Linked DNA regions of Nothobranchius furzeri. The protein of the gene in region 1 interacts with the protein of each later gene in a pairwise test. Links are inferred from orthologs where the notes say so. Each region holds a gene or a part of one and is shown in the gene's direction. Other genes may lie near its edges.

Region 1 (2,849 bases):
GGACGGGGAAGCTAATTAGCATAAAAACCAGCATGAAATTATGGAAATGCCTCAAAGAAAATCAACACGAACGATTAGGTGTCCCAGAAGGCTTATATCTGAAGACGGTGACCACGAAGAAGGACAGATCTCCAGTGAACGAGGATATGAACGTTTGTTCAGTCTTTATTTTTTATTTGAACAACCCTCAACTATTTGCTAATTGTAAGATTCAGCATCATTCCAGCATTATTTATCTTTTCACAATAAATAATTATTTTTGCTAAAACAAAAGTTTTTGGTATAGCAGTGCACGGTGTGCAAGAGAAGCACCCCATGGCAGTGTGAGGTGCACTCTGCCTGCAGCTGGAGAGAAACTGCTTCAAGGCCTACCACATCAAACAAAAACGTCTGAAAGTTTACAAAAATAAATGGTCTTAAAAACTGCTAAAAAAAAAAAAAGATACCACGGTTCAATTTTTTTAAAGAATAGATGCATTACAGTTTAAAGTTTAAATTGTTTGCCCAGTAATTTTGAAGTTCCTGTTCAGTAATAAATGTAAAAAAAATTCTAATCCGATTTTTGCTTTTTTCACTTTTAAGCTGATTTTTTAAAGGCTTTAATAGAAATAAATTCTAAATACAAGCCATACACTGAAAGCTGAGGTTGTTCTGAAAAAAGAAGAGTTACACACACTTTGCACTTTTTATTACAATTTTACAGCCACAAGATTTAAAAAAATACCAGGCGGCCCTGTTATAATTATGGTCATAAGAGGGTTATTAAGACGGGGATGCACAAACAGGAAGTGATTGGTAGTCATTCCACTCCAATCCAGTTGGTGGCGGTAATGCACCAAATTGTTGTTTGCCAAGTGCCATAAGACCACAAATAAGAATAAGAAGAGAGGCTGGAGCGTTTGTAACAAACTCAAAGCGATAGTCAAAACATTAAGCATGACATGGAGTTATCCTGGTGGCTCCAATAAGAGAAAGGAGCAGCATGCTTCATAAAAGCTTTTATTTTCACTTCTGAATGTGACGTCGTTTCTCGATGTAAACATCAAAAGGAAGCAGAAAGGAAAGACTATGGAAAATGTTTAAAGTGAGGAAAACATGGACCAAAATGGAAAATAGAAAAGAAAAAATAACGAAGGCTAAAGCACAGGAGCACTGACTGGAAAAAGAAAGCAGAGTAAATACTGAAAGCGCTCAAAGGGAGGGAAATACAGGAAAAAAGAGGAGGACTAATAAAAAGGGAAAATAACTCATGTCAGAAGAGGGGAGAGTTTCGCAAATCCAGTTAAAGGTAAGATTGTCGAAAATTTAGTGTAAGGGGCCCCATGTCTGTGTTCGCCTTGGGCCCCCAAATAGCTAAATCCGCCCTTGAGCCCTAGTATGAGGTTGATGGTGATATTCCGTGTTTGCTCTTCCAGGAGGCTCAGCGACACACCAGGAGCAGGGAGCAGCACAAAGAAGGAAGGTCTTCCCCCTTCTTTGGCCCGTGGTTCTGGTCAGCGGGCTTCTTCTCAGCCCACAGCGGAGGTGGACCCCCAGACTATCCTCAAAGCTCTGTTCAAGTCCACCACTCAGTCCACCACCACCACCGAGGCTCCTAGCTCACAGACCACAGCCTTTCGCATCAAGATCTAGCTAAACCCAGTTTGCTCTGCTGCAGTGTTCACCTTTAAACGATGATTATCCTATCGAACGGCCCGGTCTCTGTCATCAAGCTGGTTTTTACACATTTCTGACTTAAAGCGTTTAAACGAGTAACATTTTCTTCTCTGGTGTCACACGTTCCCCCGGAACGGACCAGTTGAAGTGTTGAGCGATGATTTAAATCGGTCTAGTGGACATTTGATTTGATGTTTTTTTTTTTTTTATTGAATTTTTCTTTTGTGCTACAGTTATCTGCACATTTAGAACAAAGCTAGATTGGGAAGAATTGGAAGTTAATGTTTAAAAGTACATGCATCTACAGTTTTCTATGAACTAGCAGAACAATGATCACACTTTGTCCTTTTCTGACTTAAGTTTCTCGCTGCGCCGCCTCCAGGAGTAACTGATGTTACCAGCAAACAGGAAGAACCTCCAGCACCACGTCTCTGGTTTTCCACTTCTGGTTGTTTTTGGGACAGACTATTAAAATTTGATTGTTTTATACGTTACTCTCAGTTTGCATTTGTAAACTGCTTTTAAGTTGTTTCCTTGTTCTGTCATCAGAGGAGGGGGGTGGGTCAACATTAAATATCTAGCCTTGTAGCTGTCGTGAGACTTGTTTCCACTGTTCGTGCCGCGGTGAAGTAAAATGTTTTAACCTCTGTTTCATTTCTAGGCTTTCAGAAACTCAGGATTTGGTAAGAGGTTAAAAATCAATAAATATGATCTAGAAATGTCTGAAATGTATTCATATGTTGATGCACTTGGTGAAACCTACTGAACAGCAGAACTTCCACAGAGCAAACAGACCTGCAGAAGACAAAACTAGATCTCTGCTTCATTGTGTGTCAGCTCTGGAGGAAAAGAGATGAACCAGTCAGACCTAAAAGCTAGAAGATGTCTGCAAGGATAACATTGTGCGAGAAGACTTATAGAACTACAAATGTTCATCTCTCCAAATTCACCATCCAACCAGACACGGAGAAGTTTAGTGAGCTTCGAGTCTTTCTTCCAGGATGAGAGGAGCATTAAAAGTGGAGAAAACCACTATAAATCTGGCAACTTCATATAGCTGAGATTTTAATTATAACTTTTTAAAAGCTAATGTCGCGTACTTGACAGTTGAAACATCACTTTTATTTAAAGAGCAAGTCACCCCCTGCCAGAGTATTACTCCACTCCCACTTCCTGTTTGAAAAATGCAACAA
Region 2 (4,163 bases), on another chromosome or scaffold:
TCACGAGTTGCCAGTTCCTGCAGGGGAGGAGTGTGTATTGTGACAGTGTTTTTTTTTCTCAAAACCCAGCTTACTAACAGATTTGTTATAACAGCTTTGATAGAATAACAGAAGGTGAGTAATGCAAGAGAACTAAGTTATTTTCTACAGGGCTGCCAACTTGTGATGGTTTCCATGCACGAGGAGGTGTGTGAAAGGGGTCAGACACGTGTCTCACGCTCAATGGGAAGCTAAGTCACACCCATCTATTTCCGACCATGGGTCCCCAACAGGGCTGGACTGGGACAAAAAATCAGCCAGTTCGTTTTGAGCCGAGACCGGCCCACCAGCTAGTGAAGTTAAAAAGCAATGACGCCTATTTTTTACACCACCTCTCTAACCCTGGGCCTCGATATTCCATATCCATCATGTTTTACTTGTTTCCCTGCTCCAGCACAAAAACTGAGCTTATTTTGCTGCTTAACCCTTTGGTGCATAACGGTCACTACAGTGGACAGTTACTCAAAATTGTTATTTATTTATTTTTGCTATTAAGCACAGCTGTTGAAGACTTTATTGCATATGAGCCCTTCCATTTGGACTTCAGTAAGTCAAGCCACCATATTTCATGTTCAGAATGCACATTGTCCACTGAGATGGACATGTAATAAAGTATTTGTAAATTAACAAAATGGTACAAAAAATATTTGTTGAAATTTGTTTCATTCACACCTAAAGATGAATGAAAAAAATAGTTTAAAAAATCATGGTTGAAGATTTCATAATTCATGCATCAGAGGGTTAATGCAACAAAACATCAACAGACCAAGACAATCTTCAGATATCTAACTGCTCGTTTGAGGTTGAGTAAAGAAAACAGTAAAGCAGAAAATAATCAGAAAACCGAGTTGCCATGCATGCACTGCTCACACACACACACACACACACACACACACACACACACACACACACACACACACACACACACACACACACACACACACACACACACGCACGCACGCACGCACGCACACACACACACACACACACCAACATCAAAACACATGACTTGTTTAACAGTTTAATTTTGTATTTTAAAAGAATGATCCAAACCATTCTAACTAAAAAGTTCAGTTTGAAGACATAAGAGAATCCACAATTTTGCTCTGGATTGTTCGGTTAGGAAAGAGGAGTTTGTAAGGAATATTTATTCACTGTCAATTGTTTAAACACTACAATATTGTTTGTTTAGCAAATTAATATATCGAGTTTTATTTAATCTTTATTAATTGTGACCGGTTATCAATTTGAAAGTTTTATTGACCTTACAACACCAACTCATTTTTGAAAAAGACGAATTTGTTGGCCAGTTTTTCGTTCATTTCCGAACTCCAGTCCAGTTGGTGGCGGTAATGCACACTTGTCGTTGGTAATCACAGTTTCGTCGCGGCCACCGTAGTTCACGTGGGTAATCAAAACATCATGGCGGCTGGTTTCAAGTAAGTCATTTTTAACATGTATTTTTCTTTATATTCAGACTTTGATTTTCATCAAATATATATCATCGATATATTTAATGTTCAGTGTTATATCTAAATTTAGTTTGCTTGTCAAAAAATACAGAAACAACATTTCTGTGACGTCAGTTGGGCTAGTGACGGGATAGTACACTTTATTTGTTAGATTTATCGGTCTGCTGTTTATTGCAGGATCGCACGTGTTTGTTACTAATTTGTCTTATTTAATTTCTTTAAACTTTCAGGACGGCGGAGCCTCTGGAGTATCACAGGAGCTTTTTGGTTCGTCAAATACATACAAACTATACCCAGTAGAAACCCATAAATGTTATTATTATTGTTATTAGTGTCATTGTAATTGCAAATGCTTCATTTGCAGAAAGAAAATTGTAGACCTGATGGGCGGGAGTTGTCTGAATTTAGAAGTACAACCTTAAACATTGGTAAGAAAATAAATTAAATGTTTCCTCCCTGTAATAAAACATAATTTTAGATATGATGTAAATAAAATAATATGTACTTCTAATACAAAATGAGTCGGCTCATATTTTTTCAACTCCAACATTTTCCAGTGCCTAAAGGGCTGATCACTGCCAGCTGTAACAGTTTTTACTTATTTTCTGTTCAGGGTCTATTTCCACTGCAGACGGCTCCGCTCTGGTAAAGCTGGGAAACACCACGATCATCTGTGGCATCAAAGCGGTACTGGTGCACAATGACTCAAACCGCTACTGCTAAGATTTCTTTAGGTGTTAAAGTCATGTGTTCATATGCAGGAGCTGACTAACCCTACTGTGGATGCACCTGGTAAAGGTTACATAGGTAAGTTCTGAACACATTTTACAGCCTCCTTGTTTCCATCAGGTTTTCATTGCTTAATTCTTTATCTCGTATTTTCTGTTTGATTCTGTATTTTATTATGACATCATCATCTGTCTATATATGTTTTAAAAAAGTGCCCAATGTAGACCTGCCACCCCTGTGTTCGTCCCGCTTCCGACCAGGCCCACCAGGGGAACAGGCCCAGGCTGCCAGCCAGTTCATCGCTGATATCATTGAGAGGTGTGTTAAGCCTTCAAACACCTTTAGTTTCCAGCTGTAGTGTTTCTGCCACTGCTTTGACTTAACCTTCATGTGTCGTGCAGCTCTGAGGTGATCAAGAAAGAAGACTTGTGCATTGGCCGAGGAAAGGTGATTTTAGACTCATGTGTGGACTTTATTTGTTGTAATATATTCAATCATAATTCTGCTAAATCTTGTTGCAGCTCTGCTGGGTCCTCTACTGTGACATCATGTGTCTCGACTATGACGGGAACATCCTAGATGCTTGTGTTGTCGCCCTTCTGGCTGCCCTGAAAACCAGTAAGTAGGGTTGAGACTTTACTGAAACGGTGCATGTAATAAATAAAATAAATCTATCTTTTAGTAATCTTTCCCTGCAGCACAACTCCCAGAAGTCACCATCAACAAAGAGACGTCCGCCCCGGAGGTGAATTTTGAAAAGAAACACAAACTTAACATTCACCGACATCCAGTCAGCGTCTCCTTTTGCATCTTTGATGAGTACGTTTGTTTGATTTCAATTCAATTTTTATTTTAGGTACAAGTGCCATTTTGTTCTTCTTTAAGCCTTTTTGGTTTTCCTGTGCAGCTCCATACTGATCGTAGACCCCACCGCCGAGGAGGAGAGCCTGTCGACGGCACGCCTCACTGTGGTGATGGATGAGGAAGATCAGCTGTGCTCCTTACATAAACCAGGTCAGAGATGGCACATCTGTGATCTTTAGATTTGTGGTGCTTCTGCCATGAAATAAAGCTTCAGATTATTTTGAGTATTTTGAGAAAACGGGGATAAAAGGCTCTGCAAACTTTGCCTCCAGGTGGAACGCCACTGTCGGGAGAGAAGCTGCAGGAGTGCATCAAAAGAGCAACGGCACGAAAGGGAGAGATCCACAAACTTATTGAGAAAGTCATAAAAAGCATGAAGACAGCTCAATAAATACACTCAGACAACATTTTTTATCTAAAAGTTGTATTTTCCACTGTCAATATATATTCTTTTTTAATAACAATAAAACTGCTGACAAAGACTTAAAAAAATTATCTTTTCAGTGTCCAGAAATGTCTCACGCACACTTAGCTGATGTCTTAATTCATGTAAGAATATGCTCATGGCTCCTTGTTAAAAGGTAACACCTTTTGAAAATCTGCTGTACAAACGCACGCCGTCTTGCATGATGACTCTGAGTCCTCGCGTGAGCCCTGCGCCGGAATACTCCCCAAGATCAGATTTGCATTTTCACGTCGTGGACACGTGGACGGCTTGGTGTTGCTAATCTGTGCTTAAAGGGCAGCCTCATGCGAAATTCTCTTTAAAATGTCCTCTCACTCCACAGGGCCTCGGCAGAGAAAAGTCTTCCGAAAGTAGAAATATGTAACCGTGGAAGCTCGTTACCTACAAGACCCGTCTTCTTCTTGATCATCTGAAAAAAAATATCACCAAGGCTCTTAGAGCTTCGGGCTTCCTGCTGTAGAAACCAGTTCCCCCACAGTGGACAAAGGTTTGGTTTTCAGAAAACATCTGAGAACCAAATCATAAAAATTTTTCTGTTAGAAAAAAAGTCTTTTTTTATTTGTTTTGACTGCCATCTCCAAAGCGAGGCAGAC
Region 3 (4,317 bases), on another chromosome or scaffold:
AACCTTTGCTCGGTGAGATCGGCTGCACCCATTTTAGTAGCGTTCATCATTGCAGTTATACAATCTTGCCGTTTCCTTCCCCCTGTTGCAACGAGCAGCCTGAAGCAAAATTGTTGCTTAAACATTTTGAAAAACCTTGCAACAAAAATCCTCAGGTGGCAAAACAATGTAGAAAAAGACTTTCCAGAGTTCCTTCTGGCCAAGTGTTTGGCTCAAATGTAATGGGACTGGTGTGTGTGTGTGTGTGTGTGTGTGTGTGTGTGTGTGTGTGTGTGTGTGTGTGTGTGTGTGTGTGTGTGCGTGCGTGCGTGTGTGTGTGTGCGTGCGTGCGTGCGTGTGTGTGCGTGTATCAGGTACCATAAAGGGAGATAAGGGTCCTGAATGGCTATCTGTTTGTTTGGGACTGAAAAGGAAATGACTGGAGTATAATTATATGAATATATTGTCTCCAAAGTTTAAACTTCCTTCTCAGAAAGGGTTTTGGAAGAATAGTCTAATTGGCTTTATCAATGGATTACTTAAAATGTGCAAATATTATCTAACAATTTGACAAAAATATAGATTGATTTACAACTCAGGTATTTATAAATACCAGAATACACATAAGTAGTGTGACTGGGTATGGAATTAAATATTCAAGCTTAGTAAAAATAATAATATTAGAGGTTAAAATGAGCTGCGATCTAACTGTAAACAATGTTTATATCACACCGTCAATCGAGCTTAAAATAATCCACATAAAGAGCTTCTTCAGCCACTTGTTTAATCAAAGATTTGTAGTTTTTTGTGCAATAATGACTCCTGGGACTCACTCACTCCATTTAGAAGCGATTTAACATACTTTTGAGTTTTTATTTTTATTTACCAAACAATAGAGCATTATTTACGGGACGGATGAAACATCTGGTGAGCATAGTTCATTAATATATTATAATTCATTACGGCCTATATGCGAGTAATAAATGACACCACATGCAAGCTATACTATTCAGTAATCGCGTGTGTGTTTTATCGCCAGGAAATGACAACAATGACTAGTTAACGTTAGCCGAACCTGTCATTACAGCAGACAGCTGCGGAGCTAGGTGGCTAACCTGGGATAGCCTACAGAGCTCTAATGAAAGCCAAAAAATTTAAAATCATTCCTAAAAACACACTCTTACCTCCAACGAGCAGTGTTTTACTTCTGTTATTTTGGGTTGCTCAGCAGGTTTAAAACTGGGCTCTCCCTTTTTGTTAATGCCGTTCTCTACCAGAACATCCGGCCGCTGAGTTACTACTTCCAGTTCACGCAGTCAGGTGATGCAAAATGATCTTTTGCTTTTGTTTTGGTGAACTATGATTATTATTATGATTGTTAAATATTATTTTAAACTACACATTAGTTGTGAAAAAGCTTTAAAGTAACCAAACATAAGATAAAATAAAAATGATTGTTGACTAGTTGTGCTTCCGGGAGAAAGGTCAAATCTCTCGGACGGAGCAAACGTCTGAGGAATTCAACCAAAGACGAGTGGAAAGCGTCTGAAAGCATGGTAGATTTATATTTAATTTATATTTATATTTAATTATTAATCTAGAATATTTCGTTAGATTCTTGTTTTTGTTTTTATATTCTTTAGAATGCGTTCGCTAACTTTACAGGGTGGATGGAGGCATATTTAGCTGCTATCAGCAGAACCGACACAGACATAACAACAGTTTTATTGTTAAACGGGCTCTAAAATATGATAGTTAGTTTTCATTTTATTTCAATATTTTGTCCTTAAACACGCGTGATTGAGTTATTATTTAATAATTACGGATAAAAATTCAACATTTTACTGACATTTCCGTCATTTTACAGCATTTTACTAAAGATGGTCACGTGTTATTGGTGGTTGTAATTCTCCCCAGAATCTTTTCCTGTCTTCTAAAAATCATAGAATAGATTTGTTTTTGTTTTTTTCTTCCAGTCTCACACTATTCTGCTGGTTCAGCCCACGAAGAGGCCTGAAGGGCGGACATATGCTGATTATGAGTCGGTCAACGAGTGCATGGAGGGTAAGTTAAGGATGAACTGATTCTAGTGCTATAATAATCCCACTTAGAAGCTGAAAGCTTTAAAAGGGAACATATGAATTTTTTACAGTTACAGTTTTTCAATGTTCGATACAAAACATGTTCATAGCAGTTTTTCCTTGCATAATCCCTTTCATAAAGTTACCTCACCACCTCTTTCGTTTATATTTTCAGTACTTTCCAGATTGAGCCATTTCAGGGCTTTGTCACTAGAGAAGAGCTAGGGATGTCACGGTAACGGGTGTAGCGGTAAACCCCGGTAAAAATGGTGTCAATAATAATAACCATCTTGTTTTTTAAAAAAGATATATTATCTCGGTGGATTACCGTGGCCGCAGTATAGGCACGGTGACCCATACCAGCCACCGTATCATGTGCGGCTGAAGGTGCCGCACATGCTCGCTTTCTAGTTTGCAACCAAAACTTTCTTGAAGCTAAAGCTGAAAGACGACGATCCTGTTTGCAGCACGTGCAGGAAAAAATGTCTGCAAAAGGCCACAATACATCAAATCTCATGACACATCTGCGTGACCATCACCTACAACTCTACAGTCAATGCAAGGCAAGTTAACGTTAGCACTTTATTTAAATGCATGATGTGAGGACTTTGGGTTGAGTGAGAATGCAACGAGTTGCCTTATAGTGCAGCCATAGCACCCACTGCCAGCATATAAACCGTGCCACGGACAACCCCAGATTGAAATGACACTATGCATTACGGGTCTCCCAGTAGGCAGATAAGAGTTAGTCACCAATGCAATAGATTGACTCTCGCTGCATTATTATGAATTTAACAATGATTACTGCCTGATGACTTTTTCCCAAATCTGCAAATCTCATTGGAAGGACACAAATTGAAGACAACTGTTCTGATATCGAGGTTTTATTTAGGTTTCCGTAAATATAACATGTTTCTGGTGCTATAATTAGTATGTGTAATACCCTCGAAACAACCAAGAACACACCAGGAAATAATAAATAGGAGTGGAAGATAAATATTTTTATTTTGCCCCACTGAGGGAAACAGTTTGTGCGCCCCTGATCCATAGGCGGGGCTGAGTAGAGTAGCCAACAACTGTACTCGAGTAAGAGCAGCACTACTTCAACACATTTTACTCAAGTAAAAGTGGCTGTCCAAGAAATTACCCAAGGGTAAAAAAGTAATTGATTAGAAGGCTACTTGATTGCTGAGTATCATCTGATCTCATATTTTTTAAATGATGACATCAAACAAACAAAATAAGCTATGGGCAAATTTTGGTATTTTAAAGAGCGGGTCAATTGAGCCTCGGAGTCCTTCTCCACCCACGTATCAATTTTAAAAAATGCAACATTAGTAGGCGTTGCCTGGAGGACCGAGAGGGCGGAGCCGCGGCAGTGACGAAGACGATGGCTAACTAGACGAAGCTAGCTCCCTTCACTCTGAGCAGTTATTAGAAGTGGAGGACGTTTCTCCCCCTCCTTACACAGACACTCGAGAAGAAAGGGACCAAGTCTATTTGGAGGAGACAACCGGACCTGAGTCTTATTGTTTTGAGCTTGTGAGTTGCCTGAAACTCCCAGAACCGACCCAACAGAATCACCTCTGAAAGGTAAGTAGCCGTTAGCCATAGCATTGGATTAGCTGCAGGGTTTGTCTCCACGGCCCTAAAAAGCTAGTATTCAGCATGTTTTAGAGGTTTATCTGCTTCAGCACACCTGGTTTTAATCAGCAACAAATAGCTGAGCTGCTTAACAGCTTATCTAACCTGTTAAAGCAGGAAAATCCACTGAAACATGCTGGATAGCAGCTCTCCGGTAGCTCTGGGCTCAAGTTACAGTCTGCTGCATATAAAGTTATGAAAATACCCCATGAGAAAATTATTCTGTAATGTGTTCAGCCCACTAAAACTGCCCTGATTTCTTTATTTATTTACTGATAACAGCTGCTCTCTTGGTTCTAGGTCCTCTGGTGTCTGCAGCTGGTCTCTGCTGGTGTCCTCAGGATCAGGAACTTCCAGAAGAATGTGCCTTTCAATGACTCTTTCCCCCTTATTTGTTATATTAATTAAATAAATCTCAATTTATATATTTCCTGTTTTTGTTCATGTCCATAAATACTTAAACATGCTTGAAATTAGAACGAGCTTTTAACAGTGAGGTGCTAGTTTAATTAATCACAATAGCTAGTTAAACATGCAACAAAAATGTGATATTCAATGTAATTTATAAATATCCATTAAAATATCAAAACTGGAATCTAAATGAGATATTTGG

The links.
Region 2: the proteins of poldip3 (region 1) and exosc8 interact in a two-hybrid assay, tested with the Homo sapiens proteins (2 studies listed by BioGRID). The link is inferred for Nothobranchius furzeri from reciprocal best matches to the Homo sapiens genes POLDIP3 and EXOSC8.
Region 3: the proteins of poldip3 (region 1) and enhancer of rudimentary homolog interact in a two-hybrid assay, tested with the Homo sapiens proteins (2 studies listed by BioGRID, with this or other methods). The link is inferred for Nothobranchius furzeri from reciprocal best matches to the Homo sapiens genes POLDIP3 and ERH.

Annotation. Positions count from the first base shown.
Region 1 is NC_091752.1:66,984,371-66,987,219, reverse strand, and holds the end of poldip3 (polymerase delta-interacting protein 3), read left to right. Parts: intron 1-1,415; coding exon 1,416-1,632; 3' UTR 1,633-2,244; downstream 2,245-2,849. UniProt on the Homo sapiens protein: Is involved in regulation of translation. Is preferentially associated with CBC-bound spliced mRNA-protein complexes during the pioneer round of mRNA translation. Contributes to enhanced translational efficiency of spliced over nonspliced mRNAs.
Region 2 is NC_091750.1:62,637,159-62,641,321, forward strand, and holds exosc8 (exosome complex component RRP43), read left to right. Parts: upstream 1-1,396; 5' UTR 1,397-1,461; coding exon 1,462-1,478; intron 1,479-1,741; coding exon 1,742-1,778; intron 1,779-1,875; coding exon 1,876-1,939; intron 1,940-2,124; coding exon 2,125-2,198; intron 2,199-2,272; coding exon 2,273-2,318; intron 2,319-2,452; coding exon 2,453-2,558; intron 2,559-2,641; coding exon 2,642-2,687; intron 2,688-2,761; coding exon 2,762-2,858; intron 2,859-2,938; coding exon 2,939-3,059; intron 3,060-3,147; coding exon 3,148-3,254; intron 3,255-3,376; coding exon 3,377-3,495; 3' UTR 3,496-3,596; downstream 3,597-4,163. UniProt on the Homo sapiens protein: Non-catalytic component of the RNA exosome complex which has 3'->5' exoribonuclease activity and participates in a multitude of cellular RNA processing and degradation events.
Region 3 is NC_091758.1:16,818,460-16,822,776, forward strand, and holds the start of enhancer of rudimentary homolog, read left to right. Parts: upstream 1-1,403; 5' UTR 1,404-1,532; coding exon 1,533-1,535; intron 1,536-1,955; coding exon 1,956-2,043; intron 2,044-3,520; exon of another isoform or gene 3,521-3,653; intron 3,654-4,004; exon of another isoform or gene 4,005-4,127; intron 4,128-4,317. UniProt on the Homo sapiens protein: May have a role in the cell cycle.